Drosophila melanogaster: one gene and its partners. The protein of the gene in region 1 interacts with the protein of each later gene in a pairwise test. Each region holds a gene or a part of one and is shown in the gene's direction. Other genes may lie near its edges. The genes, in order: CG4730, CG6689, CG17855 and tap.

The links.
Region 2: the proteins of CG4730 (region 1) and CG6689 interact in a two-hybrid assay, tested with the Drosophila melanogaster proteins (one large-scale study listed by BioGRID).
Region 3: the proteins of CG4730 (region 1) and CG17855 interact in a two-hybrid assay, tested with the Drosophila melanogaster proteins (one large-scale study listed by BioGRID).
Region 4: the proteins of CG4730 (region 1) and tap interact in a two-hybrid assay, tested with the Drosophila melanogaster proteins (one large-scale study listed by BioGRID).

What each region holds. Positions count from the first base shown.
Region 1 is NT_033777.3:25,674,105-25,682,094, reverse strand, and holds CG4730 (uncharacterized protein), read left to right. Parts: upstream 1-3,412; 5' UTR 3,413-3,499; exon of another isoform or gene 3,500-3,510; intron 3,511-3,547; exon of another isoform or gene 3,548-3,557; coding exon 3,558-4,567; intron 4,568-4,628; coding exon 4,629-4,797; 3' UTR 4,798-5,023; downstream 5,024-7,990. Other genes in the region: Idh3g (isocitrate dehydrogenase (NAD(+)) 3 non-catalytic subunit gamma), read right to left, coding at 50-829, 897-974, 1,072-1,128; CG4743 (uncharacterized protein), read left to right, coding at 1,609-1,704, 1,757-2,023, 2,087-2,502, 2,615-2,729; CG5039 (uncharacterized protein), read right to left, coding at 2,855-2,881, 2,937-3,122, 3,196-3,318; Lgr3 (Leucine-rich repeat-containing G protein-coupled receptor 3), read right to left, coding at 5,065-5,591, 5,651-5,925, 5,974-6,417, 6,537-6,608.
Region 2 is NT_033777.3:11,215,832-11,224,271, reverse strand, and holds CG6689 (uncharacterized protein), read left to right. Parts: upstream 1-4,207; 5' UTR 4,208-4,256; coding exon 4,257-4,488; intron 4,489-4,546; coding exon 4,547-4,920; intron 4,921-4,980; coding exon 4,981-5,759; intron 5,760-5,830; coding exon 5,831-6,166; intron 6,167-6,235; coding exon 6,236-6,356; 3' UTR 6,357-6,374; downstream 6,375-8,440. Other genes in the region: RpL3 (ribosomal protein L3), read right to left, coding at 25-414, 742-877, 1,543-1,711, 1,905-2,097, 2,340-2,342; CG6693 (uncharacterized protein), read left to right, coding at 2,868-3,767; CG4820 (uncharacterized protein), read right to left, coding at 6,394-6,520, 6,577-6,648, 6,707-7,479, 7,543-7,659; RpS25 (ribosomal protein S25), read left to right, coding at 8,011-8,013, 8,303-8,440.
Region 3 is NT_033779.5:9,537,671-9,545,762, forward strand, and holds CG17855 (uncharacterized protein), read left to right. Parts: upstream 1-2,852; 5' UTR 2,853-2,973; coding exon 2,974-3,028; intron 3,029-3,082; coding exon 3,083-3,388; intron 3,389-3,447; coding exon 3,448-3,593; intron 3,594-3,647; coding exon 3,648-3,905; intron 3,906-3,963; coding exon 3,964-4,077; 3' UTR 4,078-4,810; downstream 4,811-8,092. Other genes in the region: Oatp30B (organic anion transporting polypeptide 30B), read left to right, coding at 1-72, 135-984; Cpr30B (cuticular protein 30B), read left to right, coding at 5,277-5,288, 5,359-5,808; CG13113 (uncharacterized protein), read left to right, coding at 6,505-7,122.
Region 4 is NT_037436.4:17,356,328-17,364,690, forward strand, and holds tap (target of poxn), read left to right. Parts: upstream 1-3,354; 5' UTR 3,355-3,465; coding exon 3,466-4,662; 3' UTR 4,663-5,484; downstream 5,485-8,363. Other genes in the region: CG7692 (uncharacterized protein), read left to right, coding at 1-1,138. UniProt on the Drosophila melanogaster protein: May play a role in the specification of the sugar-sensitive adult gustatory neuron and affect the response to sugar and salt. Regulated by POXN.

The sequences.
Region 1 (7,990 bases):
ATGACAAAACTGAAAGACTATGGGTTAAGCAAAAGAGAAAGAGACTTACATGGTCACCGTAGTTCCTGCCGGATATGAGGCCAGCTCCGCCCATCAAACCGCAAAGAACATTGGACACGATGGTGCCGTACAGATTGGTCATGTTCATCACGTCGAACTGGTGAGGATTCGACACGGACTGCATGCAGGTGTTGTCGATAATCATGTTGTTGTGCTCCAGTTCGGGATAGTCCTTGTGCACACGGTTGGCAACCTCCAGGAAGAGACCATCGGACAGCTTCATGATGTTGGCCTTGTGAATGGTGGTAACCTTCTTGCGATTGTTTTGGCGGGCGAACTCAAAGGCGTAGCGGGCCACACGCTCGGCATTCTCGACGGTCACCACTTTCATGCTCTCCACAATTCCGGGCACAGACTCATGTTCCAACATGGCGTACTCGCCATCGGTGTTTTGGCGGATGAGCACCACGTCAATGTCGTGATGGCGGGCCGGAATGCCCGGATACGACTTGCAGTGCACCACATTGACGTACAGATCCAGCTCGTTACGGATGGCCACGTTGCGGGAGACTTCGGTCAAGGATTGGGACTTGGTCTCGATGTTGCCCTTGAGTGCCACTCCGTTCCTCTTAATCGATGTGATGGCATAGTCCAGATCATCGTTGCCCTCGGTGGAGGGATCGATGTCGATCACCTCGAAATCGATGGGTGCACCGCAATACCGGAAGATCTCGCGCACATAGCCCATCAGTTCAGGACCAATGCCGCCGCCCGGCAGCATGGTGACGGCATGACGACCTCCGTACTGTGCCGAGGGAATATCGGTGCCCTGTTCACGAAGATATATACGGATGCTATAACCTCAATTGGGGGTGAGCTCCAGAGGTTGCACTCACCGTGACTTTCTTCTGCAGCGCCGATTTGGTGTGGGCCACATCCTCGGTCTTCTCCTTGGTCACCAGCAAGGGATAGCCCTACAATTCGAATCGATAAGTACGATCAATAGGATCTGGCAGGCGCGCATTATGTAATTTGCCTTTGTGGGCCAATTTTCCGGCCGAGAAAACTTACGCGAGTGAGGAACGGCGTCTGCGTCTGCAGCAATCTCTGGGTCAAGCGAAGGGCCATGATTTGATCCTTGGATTATTGTTTTCTACCGCTGCAGTTGGTATTCTACTATCAGTTAAATCACAGCCAATTTTATTCCACTTGGCCAAAACGGTGCTGCTGGCTCTTGCCCAGAACCACGGCTTTTCAGGGTTGTCAAGTAAATGGTATTGGTTTTAAAATAATTACTTTGGTGTAAAAAAAATGTATTATAATTATGTGTTTTTGTGAAAAAGCTAACATTTCAATACCATCCTTTTTTTAAGTAACACTTTTGACCAAATAATATATATCTTACATAGAATATATTTATTTGTTATGGTTTCAGCATCTTGGCAACTCTACACCAAGCAGCTGTTATCTGCAGACCTGCCAGATCAGCAAAAAGCAGCTGACTGTTACGTTAACAACCACATTTTATGTTTTTGTTTACTAAAACAACTTTAGTTAATACTCCGACGGGATGACTTAAAGTGGATGCCCCAACATCATTTCTAGGACATGGCAGCGGAATTGGGTCTGGAATCGGCCGCGGGGTCCGTGGCAATCAAAATGCAAGAGCCGGTCAATAAATTAAAATTTTTCCATGCACTTGTTGTAAGTAGATGAAAATTAAATGAAAAGTTAGTTCTTAAATAATTAGTTTTAGGCAGGAGGAGTGGCTGGAATGGTAGTGGACATAGCGCTGTTTCCCATAGATACAGTGAAGACCCGACTGCAAAGCGAGCTGGGCTTTTGGCGGGCAGGAGGATTCAGGGGCATCTACAAAGGACTCGCTCCTGCGGCTGCAGGAAGTGCTCCCACGGCGGCCCTGTTTTTCTGCACCTACGAGTGCGGAAAGCAGTTCCTTAGTTCGGTCACCCAAACCAAAGATTCACCCTATGTTCACATGGCAGCGGCTTCAGCAGCAGAAGTGGTAGGATTTCATATAAAACTGAGCACCTCGTATTTAGATCTGAAGAATCTCTGTATCCAATAGTTGGCATGCTTGATCCGAGTTCCCGTGGAGATTGCCAAGCAACGCTCCCAAACATTGCAGGGCAACAAACAGTCCGGCCTGCAAATTCTACTGCGTGCCTATCGCACTGAGGGATTGAAACGTGGTCTGTACAGGGGATTTGGTTCCACTATCATGCGGGAGATTCCATTTAGTCTGATACAGTTTCCGCTCTGGGAGTACTTTAAGCTGCAATGGACTCCCCTGACCGGCTTCGATTCCACTCCTTTTTCGGTGGCTCTTTGTGGAGCTGTCGCTGGAGGCATTTCAGCGGGATTAACTACGCCGCTCGATGTGGTCAAAACCCGAATTATGCTGGCTGAAAGGGAGAGTCTCAACCGACGTCGCAGTGCCCGAAGAATTTTGCATGGCATTTACCTGGAGCGAGGCTTCAGCGGGTAATTATTTCCATATTAGACGCAACTCAAGCTGGTCCTAATATTTAAACACAAATTAACTTTACAAAACTATTTATTACATTTATTAATGTACTTCGATGTTACTTTTCAGTCTGTTTGCTGGCTTTGTGCCGCGTGTGCTGTGGATCACACTGGGCGGTGCATTCTTCTTTGGCTTCTACGACCTGACGACGCGAATCCTTGGCGCCACCAGTACGGATCATTAAAATTAGGGTTATTTTCGTTGTACTTGTAGTAGAGGCACGTAGTTTGCAGTAGTAACTAAACCGATGACAACCACCGTTTGAAGACAACGTGGACAATAAAGTGTATGGAAGACTTTTGAGATTCACTAGGCATTGGAGGCGTTATTCGCTCCCTGTGGAAGAAAAAGGGCTGTGATTGTATTGGGACATTGTCACGAGCTCACTGACATCCTGAATGTGGAGGCGACCAGTGAGGAGAGTAGCAGTAGTCCTTTGATCTCCCAGTTCATCTCCGCAGTCCATGGGCACATCGGAATCCTCCTCATCCACATTGATGTATCCACTTCGCGGAGCCTTCCTGCTCTTTAGGCAATCCCAGGAATTCCGACAGCGACTACGTGACATGGCGTAGACCTGTGTACACCCAAATGCATAAATTAAACAAATGTACATCCACTTAAACAAACAGACTGTGGCGATAACGCACCAGTGCAGCCAGAACGAAAATGCCAACGAGCACGGAAATTGGCAGCCATATGTATTGACCGTCGTCCGGATGCAGTATGTCCGGTTCAGGACTAATGGTCGTCTGAGGCTCAAGTAACTTCATCGTTTTCAGGGGATGTACAAAGAAATCACAACAACTACGAAGCAAAAAGTTCTCAAAAATTTCAGCGCTCCCAAGTGCTGCCAGACCTCTCGTGAAATAGGTGGCAACCCTAGCACAGCTATGTTTAGTTTTTCTTCACATTTATGGCTAAGAGCGGGGATTTTCAACTGTAAACAAAGAAGTATTTATTAGGTAATCTGAGTAATCTTTTCAATTTGATCAAAATAAGCTTTGCACAGATGGATCCCCAAACATCAAAAGTATGCCAAACGCTTAATTTTACAATAGCAAGGCGAACTGCAGAAGCTCCCGTGAAGCTTGTATCCCATGAAGTCTCACTTTCAGACAGTACTACTTCTTTGGAGCTGAGCAATTGCTGCCGCTTGTGTTTGGAGGAGCCGTATCCCAACCAAATGCTGGACATGACCGTCATCTATGACCAGGAGGCGGCGCTGAGTTACTACGACTGCTACGAGATCTGCACCAAGGAAGACCTGCGGCAAAATCCCAAAAACGAGCCACGAACCTTGTGCAAACGTTGTGCGGTGGAACTGAAATGGGCCTACGACTTCCACAAGAAAATGGCCATTGCCAATCAGCAGTTGAGGGAGATATTTGTGGCAACCGAAGCCAACACGGAACAGGAAGACGACGTGGAGGATGAGGAGAATGAGGCGGATATGAATGAAGAGTTCCTGATGGAAGAGATTGAGGAGAAGCAGGAAACCCCTATCGACAGCTTAGAGGACATTGTGCCACGCAATCGGCATACGGGAAAATCCAACTGCAAGTTCTGCCACAAGGAGTTCAGGAACCATTCCCGCATGGCCAAGCACCAGATGATTCATTTGGCCAATCGTCCCAACTTTCGTTGCAGCCAGTGCGACCGGGTTTACCTCACAAAGCAGGCGCTGAAAGTTCACGTCGATTCGAAGCACAGGCAGTCTGGAGTCCACTGCGACACATGCGGCAAGGTTTTTGCCATTGCCAAAGCCCTGGAGATTCATAAACGCTATCATAACAGAGACTTTCCCTATTCCTGTGATCTCTGTGATCGTCGTTTCGCACAGCGATCCCATTTGACTGTCCACCAGCAGGTTAAGCACTCTGGATCTCGCTTCATTTGCGAGTTTCCCGGCTGCCAGAAGTCCTTTACCTCATCTTCATCTCTCAGGAATCACGAGTGCACGCATACGGCCATGCCATTTGAGTGCGCCCACTGCCATCAGAGCTATCCAGCTCGTAACAAGTTAGTTATTTTGTTTAAAGTGTACATTATTTGAAAGTAACACTCCTTAATAATTTTTTAGACTACGCATGCACCTGGAGCGTAAGCATAACATGGTGGTGCAGATGGAGGACCTGGAGGAAATGCGAAAGTTTCACATCGTGCGCTCCAAGTTGGTAATGGCAAAGATTTACTCGGACCAGAAAGAATCACACCATGCCAAAAATGATAGCGCTGCTATTTCTAAATAAAAAGTATTTAAAACTATTACCAAAACTTAGATAATAGCTTAATCTTACACTAACTCGCATCCCATTTTAAATTCCGTAAAATTGCCTTACAAATATCACATTCAATTTATTTCACACTTTCATTTGGTTATCTTACACGGACAGGGATAGATATTCACATACATATATAGATTTTCGATATCATAGACAAAATAAATGCTGCTAAATCTGGTGGTATACAAGTTCGATCTGCGCCACAAGAATCCTTCAGTTCGACAGCGTTAGGACCTAATGGCATCTCATCGCGGCTTTGGCAAAGATCGTGAAGTCATCCGGATGCTGAGAGGATCCAGTTGCCGTGCCCGTCGTTGTGGTGGCCACATTTCCATTGCCAGCCTCCGCTCGCTTTCTAGAAGTTATCTTCTTCCAGCCGCGAAGGAAGATTTGATTTCGGTACTTGGGCGTGGTGAAGGTGTACAAGAGAGGATTAACCGCCGAGTTAAGTGGCAGCACAAAGACCACCAACCAGGCGTAGATGTCATCGGAGATATTGTAGTTGAAAAAAACCCAGATCTTCATAACGATGATGGGCACCCAGCACAGGAAGTCGGTCAGCACGATGAAAAAGAATCGCACAGCGAATTCGCAATCCAACAGAGTGAGCGGAGTGGCGCTCCTCGTTCGCCATATCGAAATAAGGAGTGCCGTGTAGAGCATCGCAATCATCACCAGCAGCAGCAGATTGACGCCCAGGAACACGAAAGCCGAGTAAAGCCAGCCCATCGGGAAGGCCTCGTGGATGTGCAATGGAAAGCCTGTTAAGTTTAATTTCGTCACTTGGTAAACTACATTTTATCATAAACATTGTGCTCACAGGTTCCGGAATAGGATCCGTAGTAGGGTAGGGTACTGGTCCGCCACAGGAGCACCGGTGCCACAGCCAAGCCCACGCCCGTAATCCAAATGCAAATCAAAGCCAGCCACATCACCCGATTTCCAATGCTGCGATGGCCGCGAAAGGGATCGGCGATCAAGAGAAACCGCTCCAGCGACATAAAAGCCAGGATAAGCATCGAAACCTCCGAGGAGCTCACGGCCAGCGTTCCAATCAGTGTGCACTGCCACGAGGTTATCCAGTCCAGCACAACCCTAAAAGATTGGGGCGTAACAAATGCCAATCCATCACATTTGACTTACTTGTAATACTCGTTGCGGTAGCGATAGTCCTGCACTCCAATGGTGACCAAATAGAAGCCCATCAGCATATCAGCCAGAGCCAGATTCCGAATCACCATTGTCACAGCCACATTCTCATCGCGGTAGATAAAGCGTCCCCATAGGACTAGCACATTTCCAGCTATTGTCAACGTGGCCATCACCCAGGCGGAGTAACGTAACACTGGTTTGCTCAGAAGATCTTGAAAGGAGCTGACTCCATCGGTGGACGGCTTGCACATTCTCACCCGCGGCGTCATTGAGCAGTAGAAGAATCGATCGTAGATGATGTACGTCAGGTTGCGCATTGAATTGATGGCCTCGAAGTCGATGTGATCATACCGAATTCCCGTGAGATTCAAAAACGATATATTCAGTGGCTCCATTAAACTGCTGCTGATGTGAATCGGCATTAGGGCCAACGAACTTAAATATTGGTGAGAAATTAAATGAAATCATATATTCAAATCAAATTCAATCCCGTTTTAACAACTTCATGATATATTTTGTGATTTTTTAAATTAAAACAAACAAAGTATACTCACAGTGCCTCCAGTCGAGTGTTGTGCAAAAATGTTTCGCCAGATAACTCCTTAATGGGATTACCGACAAGGCGGCTGTAAAAAGAAACGCACGTCTTTGAATTATTCGCAGATTTAACGTTGCTCATACGCCGCGTGGGCCACGCATAATGGCCCTGCATTTGGTGCTGATAAAGCTGACTTTAAAAGGTTAAAATAACAATTTTCAGCTTGGCGCGGCTTTAAGCCAAAGCCACAACAAGTTGGCGGGGGCTTTTGAAAGTCACATAATAAAATCCCCGGCAGCGTAATAACGAAAATTCTTATTTAATAGCTGGCTGAGTATAAATCAGTGCACAAACATTGTCTATCAGTGTGTGGAATAGATGCAACTGGCCGGGGCTTTATGTGCTGGCAGGAAAGGACGCATCATTCATGGCAGACAGGATGCGGCACAGTGGTTCCAAAACCACATTCTTTGTTTAAGAACTCTAAAAGTTTCCTTTCAAACTCTGCGAGAAACAACCGATTTATTGACACACACTACGTGTGGAGAAAGTTATTCGGCTTTATTATTATTATGATGATGTTTTCTCCACCGCTCCACCGTGTCACGTCCATGGGAATCGCAGCAGCTGATGCGAGATCTGAGGAACTGAATCTGATGAAGATGCTTTTGTGGATGTGTGTGAGACAGTGGATACTGACGCTGAGCTCCATTGCTTGCACTTGTCTGGTCAATCAATGCCCGAGCGCCAACTGTTAACAGTTTGTTTTTATGGTTTGTCGCCCAAAGACAATGGCCATGCCCACCACCCACGACCACCCACTCCCACCAAGGAGCCCACCAAGTTGGTAATTGGTGGCTGGCTATAAAGTTGCAGCGCGGGCAAAAGCTTAAACTAAATATTTAACTTGGCCCCAAATTGAGCCGTCGAAAAATGGATCCTACCCGGCGGCCAAATGATTTTTATTATGTAAATTTCTAATTAATTATTGAGGGGCAGGCCTCTTGGATCGAGTGGCCTCATGATTTTGCCAGTGCTTCCAAAAGACCGCACTTAATAACTTCATAAATATCCGGCCAAACCAGACGACACACGAGCACAATTAACATATTTCTCTGGGAGGGCAACAAGTTGCAGTGCCTCGTTTATGGGCCTTCGCCCCAATAAGCCCCAAGTAATGCCCATTGTTCATGGACGAGCACATCCTCCGGTGGCCACATTCACGTGGCCCATTTCGTTGGCCCATCGCAAGTGCGTCAGAATCAAAAGGCCTAAGTAAACGTTGGAGGGCCGGCTGGTGGTCATTGCGCATTTAAGAAAATGACAAATAAATGCCCCCTAGTTGGTTTTTGTGCGCTACGTGCAAGGAGCGAAAAAGCATGGCGGAGAAATATATCTCCAATGATCGAACAGGTTTATCTATACTCTTTTTCCAAAATCCTGGTATAATAAAAATCTAAGAATTACCTT
Region 2 (8,440 bases), about 14 Mb from region 1:
GGAATAATGGGTACTGGTGCTTACCTTGCCGTCCTTGGTGTGGATGCCAGCGCCGATGCGGTAGATCTTCTTGTTGATCTCGGTACGGTGGTGGTAACCCTTCTGACCGGCACGGGCCACGGTGGTGGACACACGCGACGGATGCCAGGCACCAATACAGGCCACCTTGCGCAGACCCTTGTGCGTCTTGCGGGGCAGCTTCTTGGTGTGCCAACGCGAGGTGACACCCTTGAAACCCTTACCCTTGGTCACACCAACGCAGTCGATCATCTCGTCCTGGCCGAAGACGTTGCTGACCTGGATGGGCTTCTCCAAATGCTCGCGAGCCCACTTGACCTTGTCCTCGATGGAGCCGCCGTTCAGCTGGATCTCCATGACATGGGCCTTCTTTTGGCGCTGCTTGATCAAGCGGATCTACAGGCAAATAGAGAAAAAGTACACAACAGGTTAGTTTCATCCACCTTGTGGTATTGGAAATTGGGACTGTACGTGATATGGTTTAACCGCGCTATCATCGCCTGAACGGCTCCGCACCGTTACTGGAATATATCAAGTCCCGCCACCCGAGGGGCAGATTGCTCTGCGACGTTGCATCCCTAAACCGTGCATTGAAAACCACAGCGCGAATGCTTTTTAGGCCAGGCGCACCAAAGGCACCGAGCCCGAGGACCCAGCACCAGTGGCGCAACAAGGCCAAGGACGTCGGGAAATATGGAATACATAATTGAAATTGATATTTACCTGCGAGTGGGCAATCACACGGATCACCTTGCAGTAGCGCAGCATCTTGCGGAAGTCATTCTCGATGCTCTTCTTGCCGAGATCATCGGTCCACTTCTTGCTGGCCTTGGTGAATGCCTTCTTCTTGCTCTTGTACCTGATATGGACGATGGTCAAGTTGGAGACGCAGTGGTCAGAAACGAGCGTAATGTAGCAATCCATTGGGGTGTCGCAACAACTCCAACTTCTTAGCCGCGCTGTTTATGTGGGGCGAGATAGAACAGGAAGTGCGCCTCATCGCAAACGAATGGCGAGCGGAGATGCAGTCTTCCTTGTCATGCTCACTCGTCAGGCAATTTCAATTAACCAGGGGCTTGCTTGTGCGCCCCATGATCAAGATTAACCTGACAGCTCACACAACGTTTAGCGATTTGAAAAGCTCTCTCAGCAAGCTGATCGAAGAACTTTATGATTTTGTTTTACATTTAATAGGGGTCTATATTACACGAGGGAATCACTGTTGATCGGAAGTTCGCACACACACAAAACAGCGCACTGGTTGATTTATACTTCAAAAAACAATAGATATTGTATTGCAGCAAAATCAATCGCTTATTTTCTAAGAGGCCGATCAGAAGGAAGGCAGCAGATGGTAAAAGGCTTCTCAACAATAATTTGCTCATTCAGATACCATCGTTTCATCATCCAGACTCGAGTAGAAAGCACGTGTCGGCTGCCATTTTGTGTGTGTGTACACCCGGTGCAAAGAAAATGGCGACAAATGGAGTAGGAAGAACGACCACGTGGTCCTCGGATACATACCAGTTCTTGTAGAAGCGACGACGGCACTCCTCGGAGAGATGCTGGGCCCAAACGTTGACCAGGGCACGCAGACCGAAGGGAGTCTCGATGTAGCCGACAGCACCGACCACAATCATGGGCGGGGTCTCCAGAACGGTGACGGCCTCGACCACCTCCTTCTTGTTGATCTCTGCAAGAGAAAGAAAAGCCATTAATACCGAGTAATGGTATTCCCTAAGAGAAATCATCTACAGAGTGGGCTTGGTCAGTCCGCCCTAGTTGAGATAATCACGGTTAATCATATGTGTTCTAACCATAAATCTTCTAGTATACTCATCATGGAAAGTAGTTGTTAGTTGATAGAGGTGGATGCTGGTACTTACTGGAGCCAGGACGATCGGCCTCGCGCACAATGTGGGTCATGCCGGCCTTGTAGCCGATGAAGCAGGTCAGATGGACTGGCTTGCTGGCGTCATCCTTGGGGAAGGCCTTAACCTTACCGCGATGGCGAGCTGAGCGCTTCTTGGGGTAGAAGGCCATGGAGCCATGGCGGGGTGCCGAGAACTTACGATGAGACTGCAAAATGAATGGAGAAAATCCATTAGCACAATGCGTTTCTGCACTTTGAGGTTAGGTGAACACGTGGATGTTGCAAGTGCAAATTATGCATTAAAATTACGCTTTGTTTGTATTAGTTACATTTAGAGTGATTATAACGCTACTGTTTCCAAACTAATCAATTATTTAACTTGCAATCATCCATCTTTTTGACACATCACATAGTAATATAATTTATTTTATCCGATCGAGATGCTCACCATGTCTGTTCTCTTCAGACGTGTAAAACGGAAAAGAAACGATTCCGACTTCCGTCTCGTTATATAGTGTGTAGTGTGCCCAGTGGTAACTTTGCTGAGAAATACACGTTTGGTATATTTTTTGAGATGGGTTTAAGGTCACTTTTCGCAGTACGGTAACACTGCTCGCCATGGATTTTGAGGGATGCCACCCTCATACGTTCTTAACACGGGTTACTTTTTAGTTGGGACACCAACCATGCAATGTTGTGCAGCACTGAAATGTTCAATTCTCCAATTTATTTTTGTTACTTATCACGCAGGCTCTCAAAAATTATCAATAGTTAAAACAAAATTCATAGAATACCATTTTACTTGTTAAATAATAACCAAATTGCTGTAAACAGGAAAATCAAAGATTTTTTCGCACCATTAAACAAAGGAATTTTTGTCTGCCCCACGCACCGCCACACTGGCGCGGCGTTTTGGCGCATTTTGCGTTTGGTAGTGTTGGTGCGAAAAATAAAAATACAAAATACGAAATTAGCAATGTCGACGCTGGAGCTGTGCGAAAAGTATTTTGGGACGCGCGATGTGTACAAGCTAATGGAGCTGGCCCGGGGCGCCGGCGAGAAGGAGGTGAAGAAGGCATACCACAAGCTCTCGCTGCTCGTTCATCCCGATCGAGTGCCGGAGGAGCAGAAGGCGGAGTCCACCGAGAAGTTCAAGGTGCTATCGAAGCTCTACCAGGTGCTTACCGACACGCAGAAGCGGGCGCTGTACGACGAGCAGGGCGTGATCGACGACGACGATGAGAGCGAGTCCAAGCTGTCGTCGTGGCTGGAGTTGTGGAGCAAAATCTTCAAGCCCATCACCGAGGAGGATATCAACAACTATGAAAAGGAGTATGTGGAATCGGAGCTGGAGCGCACCGATCTGAAAAAGGCGTATCTGGGCGGCAAGGGTTGCATCAACTATCTGATGAACCATGTGCCCTTCATGAAGGTGGAGGACGAGCCGCGCATTCAGAAGATCGTTCAGGATATGATTGCCAGCGGCGAGGTGCCCGAGTACAAGATCTTTACCGAGGAGCCGGCAGCCAAGCGCAAGAAGCGCCACCAGAAGTACGCGCGCGAATTCAAGGAGGCCAAGGTGATCAAGGAGCGTTTGAAGCGCCGCCAGAAGGAGAAGGACGACCAGGATTTAGCCGACAACGGTGGCGATTTGCAGCAAATGATCCTGGCACGTCGCAATCAGCGCGAGTCAAACTTTGGCTCCCTAATGGACCGCCTGATGGAGAAGTACGGCAACGAGGACGACTCCGACACTGTTGACTTCAGCGCCTTCGAGAAGAAGAAAAAGAAGTCCAAGAAGCCCGCCGCCAAGCAGGAGACCAAACCGAAGCTCAATGGAGTCAAGGCGGGCCGTGTGGAGAAGGGCAAAAACTAGTGCCGTCCTCCACTGCTCATCGTGCGCTCCTTAATATATATTTATCGTGTAGTTTAGGCTTAGTTACTCATATGTATTTATCCATGTACGTATACTTGTATTTTTCGCTAGATTAATACTAAGTGGACATAGAAATGCGCTACCATTATTACCCAAAAGTTTTCCTTGGTTCGCAAGAAAATCAAATCAAATAAAAGAATACAACGTTATCACTGCGAAATGCTGCTATTCTGATATAAAAAAATTACATTTTTTTCAATTACTAATGAAATACAGTGTGTGTGTGTGTGTTTGTGGGTTAAATAAAGCAGAGTTTTTGTAAGAACATCAAATAAACGTAGTTTTCTGAATTTTGCAATTTCAAATAACTGTTGCATTTTGTGACGTCATCGATGTAACCACCTCGAATTGTTGGCATCGTGGCAGCGCAACATTTGGTCACACTGCCGGATTATTTAATATAAACATTGCGCACTTTATTCTAAAAATATGCGATGTGCCGTGCCCAATTGCCGAAATTTCTCTGACTGCCGCTCCAAAAGGAATGCGGCTCAGCAGCAACGCTTGGGCTTCTTCCGCTTCCCCAAGTGCCCGGATACGTTTAAGGCTTGGCTAGCATTCTGCGGCTACACGGAGGAGTCCTTGAAATTGAAGAATCCCTGCATTTGCATCGAACATTTCAAGGATGAGGACATCGAGGGATCCCTGAAATTCGAAATGGGTGAGTTCCATGTGTGAGCCGCTAAAAATGTCCAACTGAGTCCTTGTCTTTCGCTCAGGATTGGCAAAAAAGCGCACTTTGCGACCAGGTGCAGTTCCCTGCGTGAACAAAAGCCAGGAAAGTGGATCGGATAGAGCCCGTAAGGAGAGGTCACAGCGCCGCAGAAACCAGGAGCTAGTGGCTGAGCTATTGGCGGAGGAGGAGGCCAAGCTAATCCACCCGGAGGCTACTTCATTTGAGCAGGATAGTGTGTATTTATCGGAAACTGTAACCATGGAATTGGATCCACTTTCGGGCGAGGAAAAGTTGGAAGAGCTGCAAAAGTGCCGCACATGCTACAATGACTTCACCGCTGACTTCAGGGCCAAGGATCTCTTTGACCCGGCCAACAGTGTCCTGCTCTTTCACATCGAAGTCATAAGTGGTGTCTGGGTTGGTTATTCGTACATTTTATAGAGCAAAATAACATGTATTGCGTCAAAAATCTTTTAGATCAGTCACAAACCAGACGAGCCGCGCCTCATGTGCCCTGCGTGTAAATCGGCCCTGGATCAGGCCATCGATTTCCGGGAGATGTGCATCAGCACCGAGCTCAAGCTCAGCCAAGCCAAGCCCTCAACTGATGAAGTGCAGATCGAGGCTGAGAATGAGAATCCAATATCATCGGATCACGATTTGATATCTGATACGGAGAACACTAATGTGGAAGAGATTGAAGATGCAGGTGGAGATCATGTTGAAGATGAAGCGACATCAGATGACCAAACAAGTCAAGAGGCAGTCGACGAAGTCGCTGAATCGCCCGCCGCCCAGGATCCACTCAGTGTGGCTCTGGGGGCCAAGATCTTTAAGGAGCTATTAGATCAATATACAGGGAAGGAAAAAGCAAGACTCAGGAAGGGAGCACCAATCGCGAGTAAGCCCAAAGCTAAGGAAAAGGCAGCTGGTGAACAGAAACCGAAGCGCAGTGCCAACCCAAAGACCAAAGAAGAGAGGAATCTTATACGGCGCGCCCAGCTACGCGCCAAGCCGCCGAACTTTGTGTGCGATCAGTGCGGCCAGGCGTTCCGCATGTCACACAATTTGCGCATCCACATGCTGCGGCACACTCGCACCAAGAACTACCAGTGCACCGAATGTCCAAAGACATTCTACGACGCCTACATGCGCAACATGCACATACGCATCCGTCATCGGGGAGAAACTCCCTTCGCCTGCGGCTTCTGCAGCGAAACATTCGCCTATCCCGGAGCTCGCCAAAAGCACGAGAGGTGAGTGGTAAATGTACACAACTAACATGCATGCATCAACTTTCTTTTGTACTTATGGCCATCCATTTCAGCGAGGTCCACAATGCGGCGCCTCGTCTCATTGTGAAGCGCATCAATCCCAAGCCCATGCCCAAGCCTCGAGAAAGTGTGCGATATCAGTGCAAGCTGTGCCAAAAGCACTACGCCTCCAAGTACGCCCTGGGCTGGCATATCAAATCGCACACCGATGCGAACGCCTACAAGTGCCAGCGGTGCAGCAAGAGCTACTCGGATCCCAACAAGCTCAAGCGCCACGAGATGACGCACGAGAAGAGGCCGCTCCAGTGCGACGTCTGCTTGAAGGGATTCTATCAGCGGACGCGGCTGCGGGAGCACGAGCTCATTCACACCGGCGAACGTCCATATTGGTGGGTGTTCTCGAGCTTTTAGATCATTAGTTTCCTAATTAATATAATTGTGCTTGTTAATCATTACAGGTGCGAGGTTTGCAATGTTAACTTTCGCTACAAGTACAACATGAAAAGCCATGCGAACAGTAAAATGCATCAGGATAATGCTCGCAAATTGGGCGTAGTACAAATTGTTGCAACCGAATGAAATGCGTGCTTCTTTTTCAATTTTCACTTAGTTGGATTTATGAATTAATGGCGGTTGGATTTGATTTTCTTTTCTTTCTTCGTTCGTTTTCGATGTGACTGGAAGAGTTGATGTGCTGAGTAAAGTTGCCGGCGCGCAGGAACCAGAGATCGCACACCTCGCAGCTGAGAAGTACGGGGAAATTAGATAGAATAATGCGAAATTACTAAGAGCAACTCACTGGAAAGTGCGCTCGCCCTTCTTGATGATCTCCCACTTGGATTGCGGCGCTCGTCCCTTCTTGCAGGCCTCCCTGTAAAATGATTATAATCATTTATAATTCGTAGCTTTAACTGCTGCGTAGGACGCACCTTTCATGTCTCACGCGCGAGCTGTTCGTGCTGTACTCCAGGCCGCAGAAGGTGCAGGCGTAGGGACCCTCCGTGTGCTTCAGCTGGTGGCGCCGCAGCAGGTGGAGCGTGTAGCACTTCTGGTGGCACTGGTCGCACTCGAACGGCTTGGTGCCCGTGTGCCGCAGCAGATGGACATGGAGATTGCTGGTGTCTTTGAATTGCCGGCCGCAGTGCTCGCAGATGCAGGGCTTGGCGCTGGGTCCATTGCGGTCCACAATACGCTTTGGCTGCTTATCATCGATGACTTTTACATGGATCAGCTTTCGGCCCACGCGCATTGTGTGCTTCTTGGACTTTATTTTGGCCGTGTTCTTGCTTCTTCGCTGTGCTGGCTCGTTGGTAGTGGTCGCCACTTCAGTCTGTGCCTCTCCATAGTCCTCGGGAAGGGGTAGGATGTCCTCACCCGGTGCATTGCCATAGCTAAGAGCTTGTTCAAGCTGATTTTCGGGATACGGCGCTTGTGGGTCCTCTTCCATTTGCAACTGGATGGGTTCTATTTTGATGTCACTGGCCGACATCAGCTCGTCAATGCCCAGCGGATCCGGAGCAGCTGCCTGCTGGACGCGAAGTTGCTCCATGGCCGCTGGAGCCTCGCCGAGATTCATTCTCCTCCGCCGCCTGGCGAAGTACTTCTCGATCTTGGCACAACGCCGCCGGAACTTTTGCACCTGGCTGAGCAGCACCTGGCAGTCCGTACATATGTGATTGGGCAAATCCTGGACATTCTGCAGCTGTAAGATGGGAAACAATCGCTGGTTGGATACGGAAACTACTGAGTGGAATTGTTCACTTACCCAGCAATTTGTGATGGAACGGACGCACTGCAGCAACTTTCGGCCCGCAGGCGTGAAGATCTGAAGGCATTCATCGGCCACGACGGTCTTGCCGCAGGTGCGGCAGAACTCCTTCATTTTATGCAATTGATTTGCCAATTATTTAAATTTATTTGTTTGACATGCGTAGGAGTGTGACCGTTGCTCAGAATGACAAAATACACTTTGAATGCGCAACGGGCACCTTTATCCAAAAATGTTTCGATAGTCAAAACAATTGTTTAATTCCATGTTCACAAATGTGAGAAGTCTAATTTTCCCAAGAAATGCAGATTATTCATATTCAATATCTACGAAATCCGTTATGAATAGTGTTTGGTATTTTTATACACTCCACCACCAACTATCGATAGGCAGGCGAGCAACCCGTGCGATGGATGGTAACTCTGGCCGTTTCCGCCCTCCATCTTTCTGCATTGACTTTTCACGATGGTGAGTTCGCTGCTACTAAATTCTGCGAAAATAATAGTTTTTCACTGTGAAAGTGGCCCGCAAATGGAGGCAAAATATGAGTGAAGTGCCGCCCCAGGGCTGGGCCATGAAAACAACACCCAGCTCAAGTGGGAAAATGTGAAAATGCGGGCAAAAAACAAAAGCATGCCTTAACCTCGAAAGCAAGCAACTCCAGGTGCTGCTCAATGGTGGTCAATGGGGTTTATTTATGTCTGGGATTCAAGTGCAAGTTGTTAATACAAGCCCGTTTTTCTTTGCAACATTCCAGCCGCCTAAGAAGGACGCGAAGTCTTCGGCCAAGCAGCCGCAAAAGACACAAAAGAAGAAGGAGGGATCCGGCGGCGGCAAGGCCAAGAAGAAGAAGTGGTCCAAGGGAAAAGTCAGGGACAAGCTGAACAACCAGGTG
Region 3 (8,092 bases), on another chromosome or scaffold:
AGAGCTGATCATACCCACAGATATACTTCGTCATTCCCGCAATGATTCACGCACCATGCATATGGATTATTGGTAAGTCCTATCTCACATTTATACTCAAGGACTATGGTCTTAACCAAATGTCTTTCCTGCAGCTACGACAAATGCGGTCGTGTGGTAACACCGGCAAACACCTGCAACCAGCCACAGACCAAGTCTAAGAAACACTTCCGTAGTGCCTCTTGTGACGTGAAGATGATCAAGAGCTTTGCTCGAGATCACAGCTCATCTAGCGGACCTGCGGATGCGGCTGGTCAGGATGCTGTTGGTGCCAGCACAAAATACAAGAATCTCAAAAAGTTCCAGGCGCACACGCGCAATCACTCGACAGACCTACACGACCCCAGTCAACCCATCCGATATATTCAGAACCAACTTCGGCCGCAGGACTGCCCCGAAGAGGATGATGACGAAGAGCTGACCACCGGATGCGGACACTTCGTTAAAAAGCACTCTCGTAACCACAGCTACGACCAAATCTACATGCCCAATAACATACGCTTCGATGCGGACTTCCTACGACACCCCCATTCACATCACAATCCCAAAAAGAATGTGAATGTTTTAAAGAATGTGGTTTCGGATGTGGGCAAGCTAAAGAATTCAAATGAAATAGAAGCTGGTGGAGCTGGATCACGTGGACATTCCCGCAACAACTCGAAGGACTTGAACACCAAAATTTCTAGTGCAACTCCTGCTTCGGGTCAGGTAGTAACGGATGCCAGTACCACGGGCCTAAGTGTGCTGAGACATCGGCGAACCAATTCCAAGGATTTAAATTATCAAGTGCTGCCGGAGTCTGCTGCCTCCAGTTCGGTGTCAGGGCACGCTCATCCTCAGCACACGCGAAACACGTCGCACCACAAGATCCAGATCGATGACGATCGTAACGAGCTCATCAACGATAACGATGATGAAGAGGAGGAGCGTTCCGCGTGTGCTTAGTGCTAGGCCATGTAGCTATAAGCTAGGATTTTCGATTTGTGGCAACATCAGCAATGTCTCCATTCCCGGCGGCAATCGCCTCATCGTACTTTGAGTGTATGTGGTTCATGCCCGTTTCCTGATGAAGTGACTCGTCCCTCAGCTGCTCATTGTACTTACGACCGAGTGTTCAAATCTACTAATAGAAGGCATCTGAAAATAGAAATCTTTTGATATATACAACATTCAACCAGAATTCGAATCCGAGTCAGATACGATTACGAATCCTTGCAGATAATATTTATGTAACCAGGCGATAGAATAGAAATCCTAGAAAGCAACTAGCATATTTTAAGGTAGGAGTAGATCGTTGTGATAGGAATATTTTGTATTGTATTTTAGTGGAGTGTAGATTAGATCCGTAAAAAGTCGATTAAGTGTTTGAAGTCTGCTGCATACGTTTCGCTTTATTTCGACTTTATGCAATCTCGGTTTCGAAGTTTAACGATTGACTGAGAATCAGTTGGCGAAAGAAAAGAGAAACGAATAGCGAATTACAATGTTTTAATAATCCGAACATTTAACCATTGTCAATGGAAATTGTGCTGTGAAACAATTTGTGAGTATAGAAAACAAAAATTAACGAAAACGTTGAATTAGAAAGAAAGTGAAAATACGCTGAATGTAATTCTTATGCAAATACATCATTTAGAGAATCTTTGTGGACAAAATAGCGATGGGTTCGAATGAAGAATAGGTCTGGAATAGTTTTATGAAAAATCCTAAATTCCCTGTTTTAATGGTAGCGAGAAAATCAAGTGTCTAGCCTAGATTTTAAAACCGAATGATGTACTTTAAATGCGATAATGCCTTAAAAATATCAATTAAATATACACGCGGATAATATCAGTATCTCAACTGAAATGGGAATTCAATCGATCCATCCGGTTGTTTTCCTACGCACTGCCCGAGTGCAAGACCCCCAGTAGTCCTAAGTGATGCAATCTAGGTTAATTAGTAGCAACTATTTCTATGTTTACACCAACCAGCCACATACAGTAGGAAAGGAGGCAGAGAGGAGCTCCTCGAGCACTAAATAGATACATCCATATAAGAAATATATGTATACAATTGTACGTTAATAAGTACCTACGCGTAGCTAATAATTCGTATCGGGATATGTGTTTGTACAACATAACTTATACATTATTGAAGAGCGATTTTAAAACGGACTACAGAAAGTGAGTCTTAGGTGCAAAAGATCATATATATATATATCATATATATGTTTACTCAAAAAGTGTGTTTTAAGGAATACATATTTTTACTTAGAGAAATATTGCAAATAAACTAATAAGGACATGTATGAAATGAAAACAATGAGACTCCTAAAATGAAAAACAAAATAAACCAAAACTGCATTAAACAAGTCAATTTGTTTTTTCTTAAAAGACATTATTTTTAACGAATTTTTTAGTTATTTGAAATTTTGGCACAGTGGCGCCCCTACAAGATGGTACTCGAATTAGGGAACTACATAAATGGTGTGACCATGATGTTTGCAAGTATCTTATATCCAAGACACAAACCTAACGTACTTTAAATATAGATAACATTTTTATTAAAAATTTTTTTATAAATTTGGTTCACCATATAATATTTAAATTAACATTGTTATTTAAGCAACAAGACGAGCAAGAAATAATTAATTTTTAACGAGCCTATCTTTTGATTAGCATTTCTGATGATTAATACAAAAAACTTTTTCCATCAATTTGGGTTCCACATAGGTAAAAAAAATAATAGTGTTAATTAAATTGTTAAGACTTAAAATTTGATCGATTCTATATGTTCGTAAGCAATCGAATAACTTAACAAAGTAACTCTGCCAGCGATATCCACGCAATTCAACTCGCTGATAGCTTATCTTTACTGTTTTCAGCAACAAAAGATTTTTCAGTAGCTGAGTAATTTTTACCACTACGAATTGAAGTAATACAAATCGAACAAATGGAGAAACGTGCTACATCTACCATGCAGGTTCTCTATGCAGAACTGGCTGCCGGTGCGTATGAGCAATGTCGTTGCGTATACGCCATGTATTGAAACTCCTTTGCAGCAAAGTCCAGAAGTGCGGAGCTGGAGGAGGAAAACATTTTGCTGCGCCATCGACTAAATCGCGCATCTGCCAGCCACAGCACCAATGCGGCCATAAATGTGGAGGCCAAGATCATGGTCTTCCAATTGGAGGAGGAACGAGATCGTCTGGTGGAAACACTGCAGAAGCACAAGAAGAAGTACAACAAACTGCATGACGCTTATCTGGAGAAAGTGAAACGTTGTCGTGCTTTGGAGGAGATGTTTAAACGGCAGAAGACGCTTACAGGCTTGGTAATGAAGTCCTCTTTAGATCAAAGAAATGCAGGTGTGTTAGGAAATGGAATTTTTGCTTAAAATTAGATCAATACTCTAAAAATCTACTAGAGCAACGAATGGCTATGGAGAAAAGGCAGTCGGCCCAAAGCGATGTCAACGAATTGAACGAGCTGAAGGCCAAAGTAGAAAAACTTCAAAGAGCCCTTGATGAGTCATACGACATTATTGACGAAATGGATTTTGAACTTGAGAGCGTAAGACGCTTTAGAACGTATTAGCAAGCTTAAGTAAAAATGATTCGTTTAAAGGTGGAATTACTGGAAATGCAAAACCAATCCTTGCGGGACGAATTAGCCGCTTTTAAGGCAAAATCAGAAGAAGGAGCGACCAGTCTGCCGGCCTCGCTACCCAACGATGACGACCCACCGCCCAAATATGAGGAAGACTATCCCGGACAGCATCATAAAGCTATGCAGGCCCGGCGCTGCTCCTCTAGCAGTGAATCTGACCCCAAGGATGATGATGCCGACGCAGAAACTATGGAAAGAGCTGCTTTAACCCATAGCGTAAGCTTTAATCCTAATTCTCATTAATTATATATGTCTGATTGTTCCTTGTATTCAGCTCATACAAACTGTGGAAACAGAGAGCAATGCCCTAAGACGGGAATTGTTGAGATCCCGCTGTCAAAGAACAATTCGCGCCAAGTTGGAGAAAGAAAGCGAGCCTGTTGATTAGGATAAGTGGCGGGATTAATCTTATCACATAGCTCCCAGCCAAAAACTAAACAACCAACCAATAGATCATAATAACAAGTAGCCATACTAAAGCTGATGAAACTGATCACTAAGTTTACGCACAGAGAGCAATAACTAGACGGCTGGACTAACCCAGATTCCGAACCAACTACGCCTAACCAGTGCACATACCAGAATTTGCTTTTAAGGTTCGACAAACACGCTCGGCGGCTGCGTTAAATCAAAACTTTTGCGATATAGTAACCCGGTTTCTTGGACTGCGCGCAGAGAAACCCCTCGTCTAATGGCGATTAATTAAATTATTTGCTAATGCCATCAAACGAGTTGCGGACAGATCACCTGCCAAAAGGATCTGGCCTCCGAGCTGTGAAGGTTCCAGCCCCCGACTTCTGCCCTCCCATCCCATTTCCAATTCGACGTGGTGCGCTATCCATTAAAACATGACAATTATTTTTATGACTTAATGCAGTCGGAGGCCTTGTTGCCCAATGCCTAATGTTGCAAATTATTGACAAAGTAAATTAATCTCCACATTTGTTGGTTGGACCAGACAAACTAGCGCGACACCTCTAAGATCACCATCAAGCTCTCCCACTTGCGGCATATTCATTTGGATGCTTATCGAATGTGCGTCGCAAAAGAAAAATCAAATGCGTCATGGGTAAAAAAACTACAAGATTTTATAAATTTAAGTTTTAATAAAAATATTTTTTAAATTTCTTTATTTTGGATTCGGTGGATTTAGAAATTTCTTAAAAATATTAAGTGAGTTTTACGTCGTTTTCATTAGAAAAGAAGAATTAGGAGAATGGAATGGTTACTATTTCGTTCGACATGAAGCCTAACTTGGTTCCTAATTTTTTGCAGTGCATGGCTCAGGCTGGTGCGAACCACATTTTGCATATTTCTTGTTTAATTATAATTTTTCGGGGCTCACTTAATGAGCGCGCTCCACTTGGTCGGCGATCTTGTTTGGGAGGCGCGTGCCGCAAAGCGACACGACGCCTTGGGTGGATTGCCACATCCAAGTTGGATCGAAGCGTAGCTCTGGCCTGGTAATCAGTTGGCCAGCTTGTATATAAGCAGCCTAGGACTACCCAGATTAATTACTTCGATTTCGATCTTTGTCGAGTGCATTTCAATACCCAAAGAGTTCTGAAAGGACCAAAATACCACAAAATGATGGGAAAAGTGAGTGGAGTGGAGGAAAAAGGGTGCGATACAAAGGATTCTAATGCATAGAGTGGTGTCTTCCTTTTAGGTTACCTATTTGTTGTGCCTGTGCCTGGCCAGCGCCGTTTGGGCCATTGAATTGCAGGCGGAGCCGGACTACGGACCAGTGGCCTACGAGTTCCAGTGGTCGGTGAACGATCCCCACACCGGCGACATCAAGAGCCAAAAGGAGTCCCGCAAGGACGACAAGGTCGAGGGTGTCTACGAGCTGATCGATTCCGATGGCTATCGCCGCATAGTGCAGTACAAGGCGGATGATCACAACGGTTTCGAGGCAATTGTCCAGCGTGAGCCCACGGACATCAAGATACCGTTGCCTGAGCCACCCAAGAAGCTCCTGGCCGCCAAGATCCTGACTCCCGTGCTACCGGTGGCGCCACTCGTCCACTACGCCGCCCCCAAGGCCATTATCAAGCAGGAGCTGTCCGCCGGGAACTATGTCTCTGTATCCGGACCAACAGCACAGTACAAGTACTAAAAGGATCTAATGACTGACTTCAGCTGCATAAACCCATTAGGAAACCCGTCTTGACCCGGGAAAACTCACTGCCATACATCATAATTTAGTTACAATTAAGACAATTGAGTGTACATACAGACAGCTTACATTAACCTACAATAAAGATGCATCCCATTCAATCTGTTCGCAGAGGAACACAAAAACTTGGATTTTTTAATATAGGGAATATACTTAAAAGCTGGGTGAGGGTATTTTATTGATATAAAAAAAAAAATGAGTAGTTGAGTAGTGGTTGTGTTGCAAACATACTTATATAAGTGTGAAGATCAGTTAAGAAAAATATAAGCCAAGTGAAGAAAAACCACATTATGACAGTTCACAAGTGTGACACAAAAAAGTGAAAGATTATTAAAACCAAAAAAAAAAAGTGGTGAATGAAATGCTTGACTTAGTTCAACTCGCTTGTGTGTTTGGCTTCTTCAGTGAATTCGTATCATTATATTTGCGAATTGATGTCTCATAAAATGATGCGTCACGATACAGGTGGCTTCGATACTGTGATAAGCATAAACTAATGCTATCGCCGCCAGACGCGACATGGCCCATAGATGCCTCTAATCTCACGTAGCTGCTGCCACTTTGGGGGCGTCCAATTACCGGCGCAGTCGACGTCGTCGATGGCGATTCTATTGGATTTGGCTAACGCTCTGACCAATGCATCCATGGAGCATCAGTGCGAAAATGGTCGGCTGCCCGGAGACACGACAACTACTGGTCACATTGCTATTGACCCTTGGCTTCTGCCTGGGGGGAAGCTCAAAGGATACAGTTGCGGATGCGGATGCCAAGTGGATGGCTCCACTTAAGCAGTATGGGTATACGCCGCAGCATCTGAAGAACAAAGTGGAGCATGGTGAATTCACCACCTTCGAACTGGGCACCCCCAACTACCAGATTCTCAATCCCGAAGACGAACCGGAATACATAACTGCGGATCAACCGCATTATCAGGAGATGCTGAGGCGACTTACCAGTGGTCGTAGTAAAGCTGACACCATTGATGTGGAAATGGCAAGTCGCACGGAAACGGTTCGCGAGACTTCCGATCCGGGTCAATCTAAAAAACCATCTCAAATTCAAGTGCCAGTTAAACCGAAGACACAACTAAAACAAAATCGCTGGGAGAAACTAAGGAAGCGCAGCTCCATCGAAAAAAGACGTGACCACAAGGAAACCATGGAAACTGATGTGCGGGATGATCAAAGTTTCTTCCCTGATATTCAGGTTTACCCCGGCTTACCCTTCCAAAGTCGTGTAGCAAATCTAAATTAATCATAAATAAGTCACCTCATCCAAATGTGCAAATGGCTTTGATTTTAAGTGATCTCTGGTGATTCGGACAATGAATAAATACTAAAAGTATAAAAGTAAAAAAAATAAAGTACTTTTTTAAAGGACTACTTTAAATAAATCGGAGTTTTTTGCTATTTTTCTTTGTAAGGCTAAAATTGTTATGACTTTTACTCGCAATAATGAAAATAGTGATGTTGCTTATTTTTGTTAAAACAAAAAAGATTAAGAGTGCCCCCAATTTTAAGCAGAGTTTTCCCAAAATGTTGTTTAAATAATGAGCTAGACAAAATGTTAAATGGTCAAGATACTATTATTTAAATCAGTAAAGCTTTTGTACTCAATTTGTAGGAAGATAATTTAGGTATTGAGCAATATCGCTTACAAAAATACCATTATCCATAGTGTACGTGTAGACCTTGAGTTCCACAAAGAATTACAACCAAAAATTGATAAGTCAATCGACCCCAGACGTTAATATCAGATCTAGGCCGAGACCCAGAAATTATAAATCCCCCAAGCAGCTGGAAATTTTGTGCAGAACCGAAAAAATGATCATTGCGGTCGGAATGGTTTTGGCTATTTATAAAATTAAAGATTTCAGGAGGATTGTTTATTCTGGCTAATGAGAAACTGCCTAAAAAAAATGCATTATGAAGTTCGTCTTTCTCTTAAAGGTTATTGTCATGCCAAAGGTCATACATAAATATGTTTGCTATATGTTTTTGATTAAACAACTCTTGTCGCGAGCACTCCAAGCTATCGACGAGTGCGGGCAGAAATGCTTGAATGTGTATTACGGAAGCGGCGGCATCTGGCGATTGTCTTTACCCATTCCGGACCCATTCCGGACAACCACGCCCCATTCCGAGCCGTTTGGGGCGTTTGGAACGTGATGCGGTCAACGCTTCCGCGACCCATTTGCTCGGCGTTGTAAGAACGAGAAGAAGAA
Region 4 (8,363 bases), on another chromosome or scaffold:
CATGGACCCAGAAGTGTTGCAGCCCACTGGTGAGACCAAGACGCATTTGATCCATGGGAGCCTAGAAACTACAAAAGTGCCACAGAAGACTCCGGAGTTTCTGTTTTTGACCAAGGAGCCCGTGAGAACTGGACAACAGACCCAGGAGCCACTGGGAGATGCCTTAAAAACTAGTGACCTAAAACAGGTCATCCCAAATGGACTGTTCAAAGTAGAGGGACTGGAAGCGAGACAGGCGGCCGAAAAGCCAAAACAAACTGGACAACCGCAACGGGATCTACCGAATACAAGAAAACAAAAAGATAAGCTTATCCACATGCAGCGCTTAGGGAATGCTCAGCTGCCTAATGAAATGTCAACGCCATCAGAAACCGGGACAGAAACCGACACCGCGGAGGAGACCCTTCTGTGGGATGGCAGTGATGAGAACCCTAAGAACAAGTGCTTACAATTTGACTCAGTGAACAACGAATCCAATTCCAGATCTGCAAACGATATTAAGGAAATGGAGACAAATCGTCAAATCAACGAATGCCTGACGCGTTCTTCCCAGGTGTGCTTAACCAGATTGACACCACGAGACATAGAAAAACTCAGGGGAGTAAGAGTTCGTGTTAAGCGAACTAATATGGCAAATTTCTATAACGACCAGACACGTCGCAGCCAAAGAAGGCTCACAGCGAGTCTTAACGGTCAGAGCCGCTCCCACACCGAGGACAGCAATGGATCTTCAAACAGCTACAACTACCGCCAATATGATAGGCGCCGCTTCAAGAAGTTTGTGCACATCACATCGGACTCGCCAGCACCTTCGGAATCGTCCACGCCATCGCCGCGCATGATAGCCAAGCCGGTCTTCAAGCACATTACATCCGATTCCTCGACAGATCTCGAGGAAGTGACTCGGTCTGTTTCTGCGATTAGAAGACGTGGACGTGACCGTGGACGCAGTGGGCCCAAGTGTATAACAGAACCAAATGTGCGACGATCGCCTTCCTTTCAGCCGGATGTGATCGAGTTGTCCTCGGACTCTCTTTCGTCCAACTCACCAATTCCAGCCGCAAACCCCCCCATGAATAACTTTACACATGCAATGGATATGGATCCGCTTTACGAGGAGGCCATCATTCCATTCTAACACGCTGTTGACAAGTCGAGCCTGCTACCGAGCCAGAGGCGATGTTCTACGTGCCCGAAACGAATGCTGGCGAAGGGATGTTCGTTGGTTGCGCAGCAGAGGAAGGGAGCAAGGAAGATGAAGTGTATAGCTGGGAAAATCGAATTCGTCTCGGTTGTTAGAATGCAATTAGCCTGGGGCACACTTGGTATTTGCTTTGGCTACCAAAACGCCAGGATTTTGATGAAATTATTTACGTGTACATCTGTTTGACCAAGTTTCCGGCTCCGGCATTGTATTTCGGTTTTTATTTGGACTGTAACGCCGCCCGAGGGCCTTTAAAAAAGGACTCTCATCGAGTCCAGGACAACACTCAATGGAAAAAGCAAACGCATCCGCACTTCAATTAACTGCCTAATTGATGTGCATTGTGGCTCTAAAAAACCAAATTAGCTACACGCGGCGGAGAAGCTTTGTAACATGGATGACGACGACGGCGACACGTGGCTGCTGGTGTGAATTTAAGTGGCATATATGGGATAGATTTTCTTCTCATGTAAGAAACATTGTTAGTAGTACTTAGCTCTTATAAAGATATTGATACAAACTACCATTAATATTCTGTTTAAAACTTCAATATAAATATATTTATATATATTTATATATATAAATATATTTATATATATATAAATATATTTTATAAGTTACGAAAACACTCATTGTACTGATCATACAAGAAAACTGATTAAAAAATAAATAAATAAGTATACCATTAAGTATTTGTTTATTTATATAAAACTATCTTGGTTTTGAAATCTATAAGGAAATTAATCAAACATCAGCTCTACTTAGTACATTTTTCATAACATACTTAGCTACCTTATAAAGCACTATTAAAGAAAAAATTGATGGTGTCACAATTACTGAAGCAAGGTTTATATTTTTTCAACAAAAGCACTCAATTCATTTCCATTAGGAGGAACTGCCTGAAATGTGGCATATTACTAAATTAGCCCCCTCGACACTCAAGTTCTCACTCGTGCTGGTAATTTGCGGCAATTGCCGCATATCATAACAAATCCGCACGTGGCACCCGTCGCCCACTTGAAATTGCAACTCCGATCCTCCTTTAACAGGATTGCCACAGATAGGAATCCCACATCGGCACACTTTGCCACTTGAGCAGCCGTTAAGACCGCGGCACGTGGCAACGCCTGGGTTTTCTACCAGGAGGATGGAGTCCTGTGGGAGTGAGAGCTTTCCGTTGAATACACATGTTGCTTTTGGTAAGTGGAGGCGGCATCCTGGCCACGTGCCACTAACCCGTTTAGCGACAGGCGTAAGCCCTAAACGATTATTGCGGTTTAGTTGCGAAAGGCGAAAGAGTTGATGGTAATTGAATCTTTTGAATTGCAATCGCATTATTTCGATGTGGCGATAAAACAAAATAACAATTTATTTAGTCCACGAAGCACACATACTCTATATATGTAGGAAAGGGTAAGAAATCTTTTAGTACGGAAATGGATTAAATCTCGTCCGAAAATTATACCTACACCGAAAATATAACAAAGTCGTAATGATCCGAAGATATCATATTAAACAAAAGTATTCCCTATTTCAAATAATTTTTGGATTTATCCTTAAACTAAGTGATTTTTACAAAATATATAATAATATAATATTTCTTCTTTTAATTTAACTATAATATAAAGCATATCTTAAATTGACCAACAATACTACTCATTCATTAATATAAATATAATTAAGTTTAAGCTGTGCAGTAAGCACATTGTATTTAAATAACCCTAGAGGAAGGGTATGACTATAGAGACGAGCTTTGATGATGCCGTTGGCGACACCGCTGATCCTCGGACGCAGACATCCTTCCGATTGGCCTAGAGAGCACCGCTCGCAGCGAAGCGTGAAAAATGCTCGTATTTTGACTGGTAGCGGCGGCCCGCAGAACGAATCTCCATCTCCAGGAAGTTCACCCCGCTGCAGGCAGTTCTAGCTAGACGACGTTGGTGTGTGAGTTGGCAAAAGCCACCCCCGGGCGGCAATCACGGCGCATATCTGTTGGGATTTGTGTCGGGGTTCTGTGCTCTCTACTTTGCGCTATGGCGCCGCCACGACCGACGACAATGCGCCGAGGGTTGATGCCTGTTAGTCCGGACCCAAATCAGCGGGCTTAATGGCTGGCCGGGCACATAAAACCGGTGCGCACTCCTCGCCAGCTTTTAGTTGGTGCGGGCACGCGAGACGCGAAGAAACAACTCTCTCAAAGCGGAAATCGTAAATCGGAAATGTGCTAAAGGATATACACACCGTGATACAGATACGAGATCATGGCCGCCTGCTACAATGCCTATAGCGCTGGATCACAGTCCTTCGAGTTCGACGAGGACGACGACGACGCCTCCTTCGACAGTGGCTACGAGAAGAGTTTCGAGACGGAGGCCCAGTTGAGCTCACGACGCCGCTTGGACTTTGGCACTCCGCCGACTCCGGCGATCCCGCAACCGTACTCCGGCGGCACCTGGGACGCCGTACCGCTCAGCTCACCGCCGGCGGGCTTCGTGGGATTGCTCGATACGAGCAGCAATCACAGCACTCGGAGCGGCAGGACACTGGTCGAACATCTGAACAGTCGGGCCACGAATGGCGTCTTCGATCCGCCATTGACCAGTACGCCGGTGAAGTCGCCAGAGGATCCCAATGCGCCGCGACCGAAACGCAAATATGCCGTCGGCAAGAACAGAGTAACTCGCTCGCGCAGTCCAACCCAAGTGGTGAAGATCAAGCGTTTCCGCCGCATGAAGGCCAATGACCGGGAGCGGAATCGGATGCATAACTTGAATGATGCCCTGGAGAAACTACGCGTCACTCTGCCCTCGCTTCCCGAGGAGACGAAGCTGACGAAGATCGAGATTCTGCGATTTGCGCACAACTACATCTTTGCCCTGGAGCAGGTGCTGGAAAGCGGAGGTTCAATCAACCTGGATCTGGAGAAGCTGCAGAACTTCACGCTGAGTGGTGAGAGGATTACCAAGGAGCTCTTCGATGCTCTTTTCGTGAATCCACAGCCGTATCCCTTGTTCGGACGAATGTTCCCCTATGGACAGGGAATGGCGCCTCTTGCACAGCACCAGACTGCTCCAGCATCGCACGCGGAGCAGCCGCCGGCGATGGGTGGCTTTCAGCACGGCATGGACTATCCGCAGCAGCCACCAGGATTCGACTTTACAGGCAGCATGCGGTTTTACCACCAACAGCAACAGCAGCCGCATCAGCCTCACCATCTGCAGCCTAATCCCCAGCAGGAGTCCAGCCCGCAGCAGTTCTCGCAGGAGAAATACGATCTGTTCAGGGGATCCTTCGATGCAGCTGCCAATCTTCATTCTACGAACTTGGATTCTGGGATTCACCAGCAGAGCAGCTTCTACTCGCAAACACCGCCATGGAAGGACTATCCGGAGGATCAGGCACACGTGCATCCCGTTCCACATCAACACAGCTACAAAAACTTCGCCCCGCAGGTGTAGCACAGTTTTGTGGGCCAAACTACGATCTTAGGGTTTTCAGCGTGATATACTAAAAGATTGCCGGAAATTGCAGGAAACTGATCAAGGGGAATTCCTCTAAGCGATTTGCCCTTGACTTACTTTAAAAACATAACTAAAGTAACTTATGGGTCCTATCTCGGGATTTCCCTTCCTTACTTTTCTCAACTTTCCTGCAATCCGTTGATATTGGTAATAAGCGAGGCACCTAATTGACTGCTAAGATTATCATCAAGTTTGAAAATGAAATATCTTTAAAAATTGTATATTTCACACTTGCGCTAATCTTTGAACTCAATTAGTTTCATGTTATAGAGGGATCCTCAATAGATTAACCAATTTAAAGTCAAACATCCAAAGTTAAGCTTCACGAACTCATTATTAATTCATATGAATTCCCATTATATTTGTATTCATTGGCTTCCTTCTTGCGGATCTCTGGTGAATATTTGAATTAAAAGTGCTTAGGGTAATCAATTTTCCAAAAAGCACTCTTCTTCTCAACATATTCGCATTCTTCTTGACTATATAGTACAAATCGGTTGTCCATTTAGTGTAAGCGATACGTACCTTGCCATTCTAGATTTAAGACCTATCTATAAGGATTCTTAAAATGAACCAGGTATTAGCCATAATTAACTGTACAATCGATTAAGTGTATGTAGGTTATGCCAGATTCTATATCAGTTATTGCAATGCAAGGAAAGCGAGCTAGTCAGGGCCAGAACTTTAAGGTGATAAGATTGAATTTCGATGTAAAACCATAAAGATTTATTTTTGCAAATAAAGTTGACGATCAAAACGAGCCAGAAAATGGTTTTGCGAGTGGGAAGAATGGACGAACTCCTGGACAAAGTCAAAAATAGTAGCCAAAGCAAACAACCCTGGAATCAGTGTACCGCTGTGTGCGGATTTCAGGTCCCAAACAAAGGACTTAAATTCAAATAAATATTGTATATTGCAGGGCACATAAAACGAATGGCTTTGTGTGTGTGCACTGCAGCTTGTTCTTATCGTAGGGGGCACTTTTCGCCCTTACAATTCGACATGGGGTGAGTTCAAGTAGAAACCGAACTCGAACTCCCGGCTCGGCCTTCATAGCTCGAACAATGGAAGATTGCCGTCACCTGCCACACAATTACAAAACGAATGTACCAACAGCAGCAGTCAGGACCAAACAGGGAATCCTGAAACATGAGCTGTGAGCCAGTGGACCTGCATGAATGCCACTCAAATTATTTAGTTGAATGAACCGAACCGGCAAGAGTCGAGGGAAATGCTTTACTGCTTTACTGCCTAACTGGGTAACAACTGACTGACTGACGTTTTCCGTTACGAGAAAAGGGTAAAAAGGTGGTAAAGATGCTGGAAAGCCGGTGAGGAATTCGCAATCTCAACTGAAGATTACAATAAGACAGTCTTATCCGTTAATAGAGCTGTCATACTGCAAAGCCTTACATTCAAAGGTTTTAAAGTTTTAAAAAAAGGCGTAGGTTTGCCTAATGCAACGTAAATTGAATATTGGGAAAGCAGGATATCTTTATCAGCAACTTGTATGATTTAATTTCAAATATCAACTACTAACCACCACTTTTAACAAAAAGATTTAAAATTACATATTATTCGTATGCATACTCCATTAGAATTTATATTCATCATTCAAATATCTTAGAAATAATTTTAGGTCTAGCCATCCTGAGCATTCAACTATGTTTAAGTTAACTAGATATATTTGCTGTCGGTAAAAGATTCGCTCATGGTTAGTTATTGGGGTTATAAGCGGGAATTCGTCAGTTTTTCCACAACTAAGCCGGCGTTTGTCATTTGAGCAGCTTTGTTGGAGGTGTCGGGATTTATCTTTGCAATAATCATTATTATAGACCGGCATGGGTCCTGGGTTCTTTGGTCCTGTTGTGCTGCAAAGGCGCAAATACGCAGCGGGTGAGCCAGCTAAGCTGCATTCAATTTCTGGGACCCACTCGCCTCTCCTCGAGGGTTGAGGATGAGGATGAAACCTGGCCCGGATGGGACTCGCATCATTAGCGGACGGGGTGGCTGCGTTTCGATGGCTATCGGCGGATCAATGACGACATCTATGCCCTGACTCCCTTGCCCGAATGCTAATGCACTGCGAGGCTGGAAAAACAATTTGGCGATGGCCATAAGGCGATAAGGCAACCAAAATGGAAACAAATTGCCATGGACATGCTAAAAGGCGCAAACACAATGGATTGGCATCTTCGGCTGCGGCAAGTGCAGGTCCTTGGAGAGCGATTCATATGCGGTCCGATGAGATTGCACAAAGGACTTCGGCTGGGTCGACTAATGGCGGAGGGTTCGACTTGCAGATACCTAACCAAATCAAATTTCTGTGTAAATATACAGGGATTAGTCCACACGGAGAAAACACAAGGGGCCATTTCATACTCTTCCCTATCAAACCGAACACGGAAATAAGGCTGCTTTCTTTGAAGTTTATTTTATCAATTTATAGTATAGATTTATTATTATTTTCCATCAACTTGTATTTTAGATTAACTCAAGCATGAAGAAAAGTAGGTTTAACTGAGGACTCTTCTTTTTTTGTAAAAGATGGATAAATTATCAAGCCATTTGTTTAAAAATTTATTTTATTTGAGTACATGAATTAAGGTAATGTGAAATTTTTATGTGCATTGTCGTTCCTTTTGGTGTTCTAAAACCTTATTTTTGGTTACTCTCAAAGACTTGATGAGAGTCAGAGTTCAACCCTTGGAATGGAAAGCATGAAATATTAAGATCATATATCACACCGTTCCTGACGACACAGCTCCAATTTGTACTTGCCCTTTTGCGATTCCCATTTCGCAAATCGAATTTTATTTGCCGAATTGATTGTTTTACGCCTTTTTAGCAAGACGTTGGCACACATTTTTTTAACCCTTTGCCGGTGCACGTGGTTATTGCAGCCCCGGATCCATTGTTTATTACCCCTTTTTGGTCCTGATCAAACATTGATGGCAGAGATTCGCTCTGGTGCAATAGCTACACGTTCGCTTTTTAGCGGCAAGTTGCTCGACCTTTTTGCCCATTCATTGCCCTGCTCGAATTGGTTTATCTGTGAAATCTTTGACGTCCTCTGGTTGTTGTTTTTTGTGAGCCTGAACCTTCCGGGGTGTGCGACCTCGTCGTATACGTTACTGTTCCGATTCGAAAAAAAAAAATATCCATGTGTGCCCTACCTTTGTCGCTTTCGAGTTGTGTGCTCATCTAACCGAAAAACATTGGATAAACAAACAGCCGGCTCGAGTATTTTGTTACACTTAGTGCTCGTACCGAACAGGACCTTTTCATTTCTCTATTTTTCAGTATCCGTGGAAGGAAGCCAATCTGTCGCATTTGTGTGCAATCTCTCCCTCGACTGATACTGTAAAATGTTATGCAAGCGCTGATTTTTAATCCGATCAGAGCGGTTTTAGTCAAATTTAAGCAGATTTATGTCACATTGTTGAGCCAGAAAGTGGTACGCAGCGAAGGGAAAACAAAACGAAAATGTTAACACATGTAAATCAAGAATCAGATAACTATATAGTGCATGTTCCTCTATTAGGCAAATCGAATTGAGATCATGTTCCTGCCCACTAACGATAGGACCATAAAATTCGATTAAGGTTGCGGAAAATTATTTGAATGAAGGACAAAAC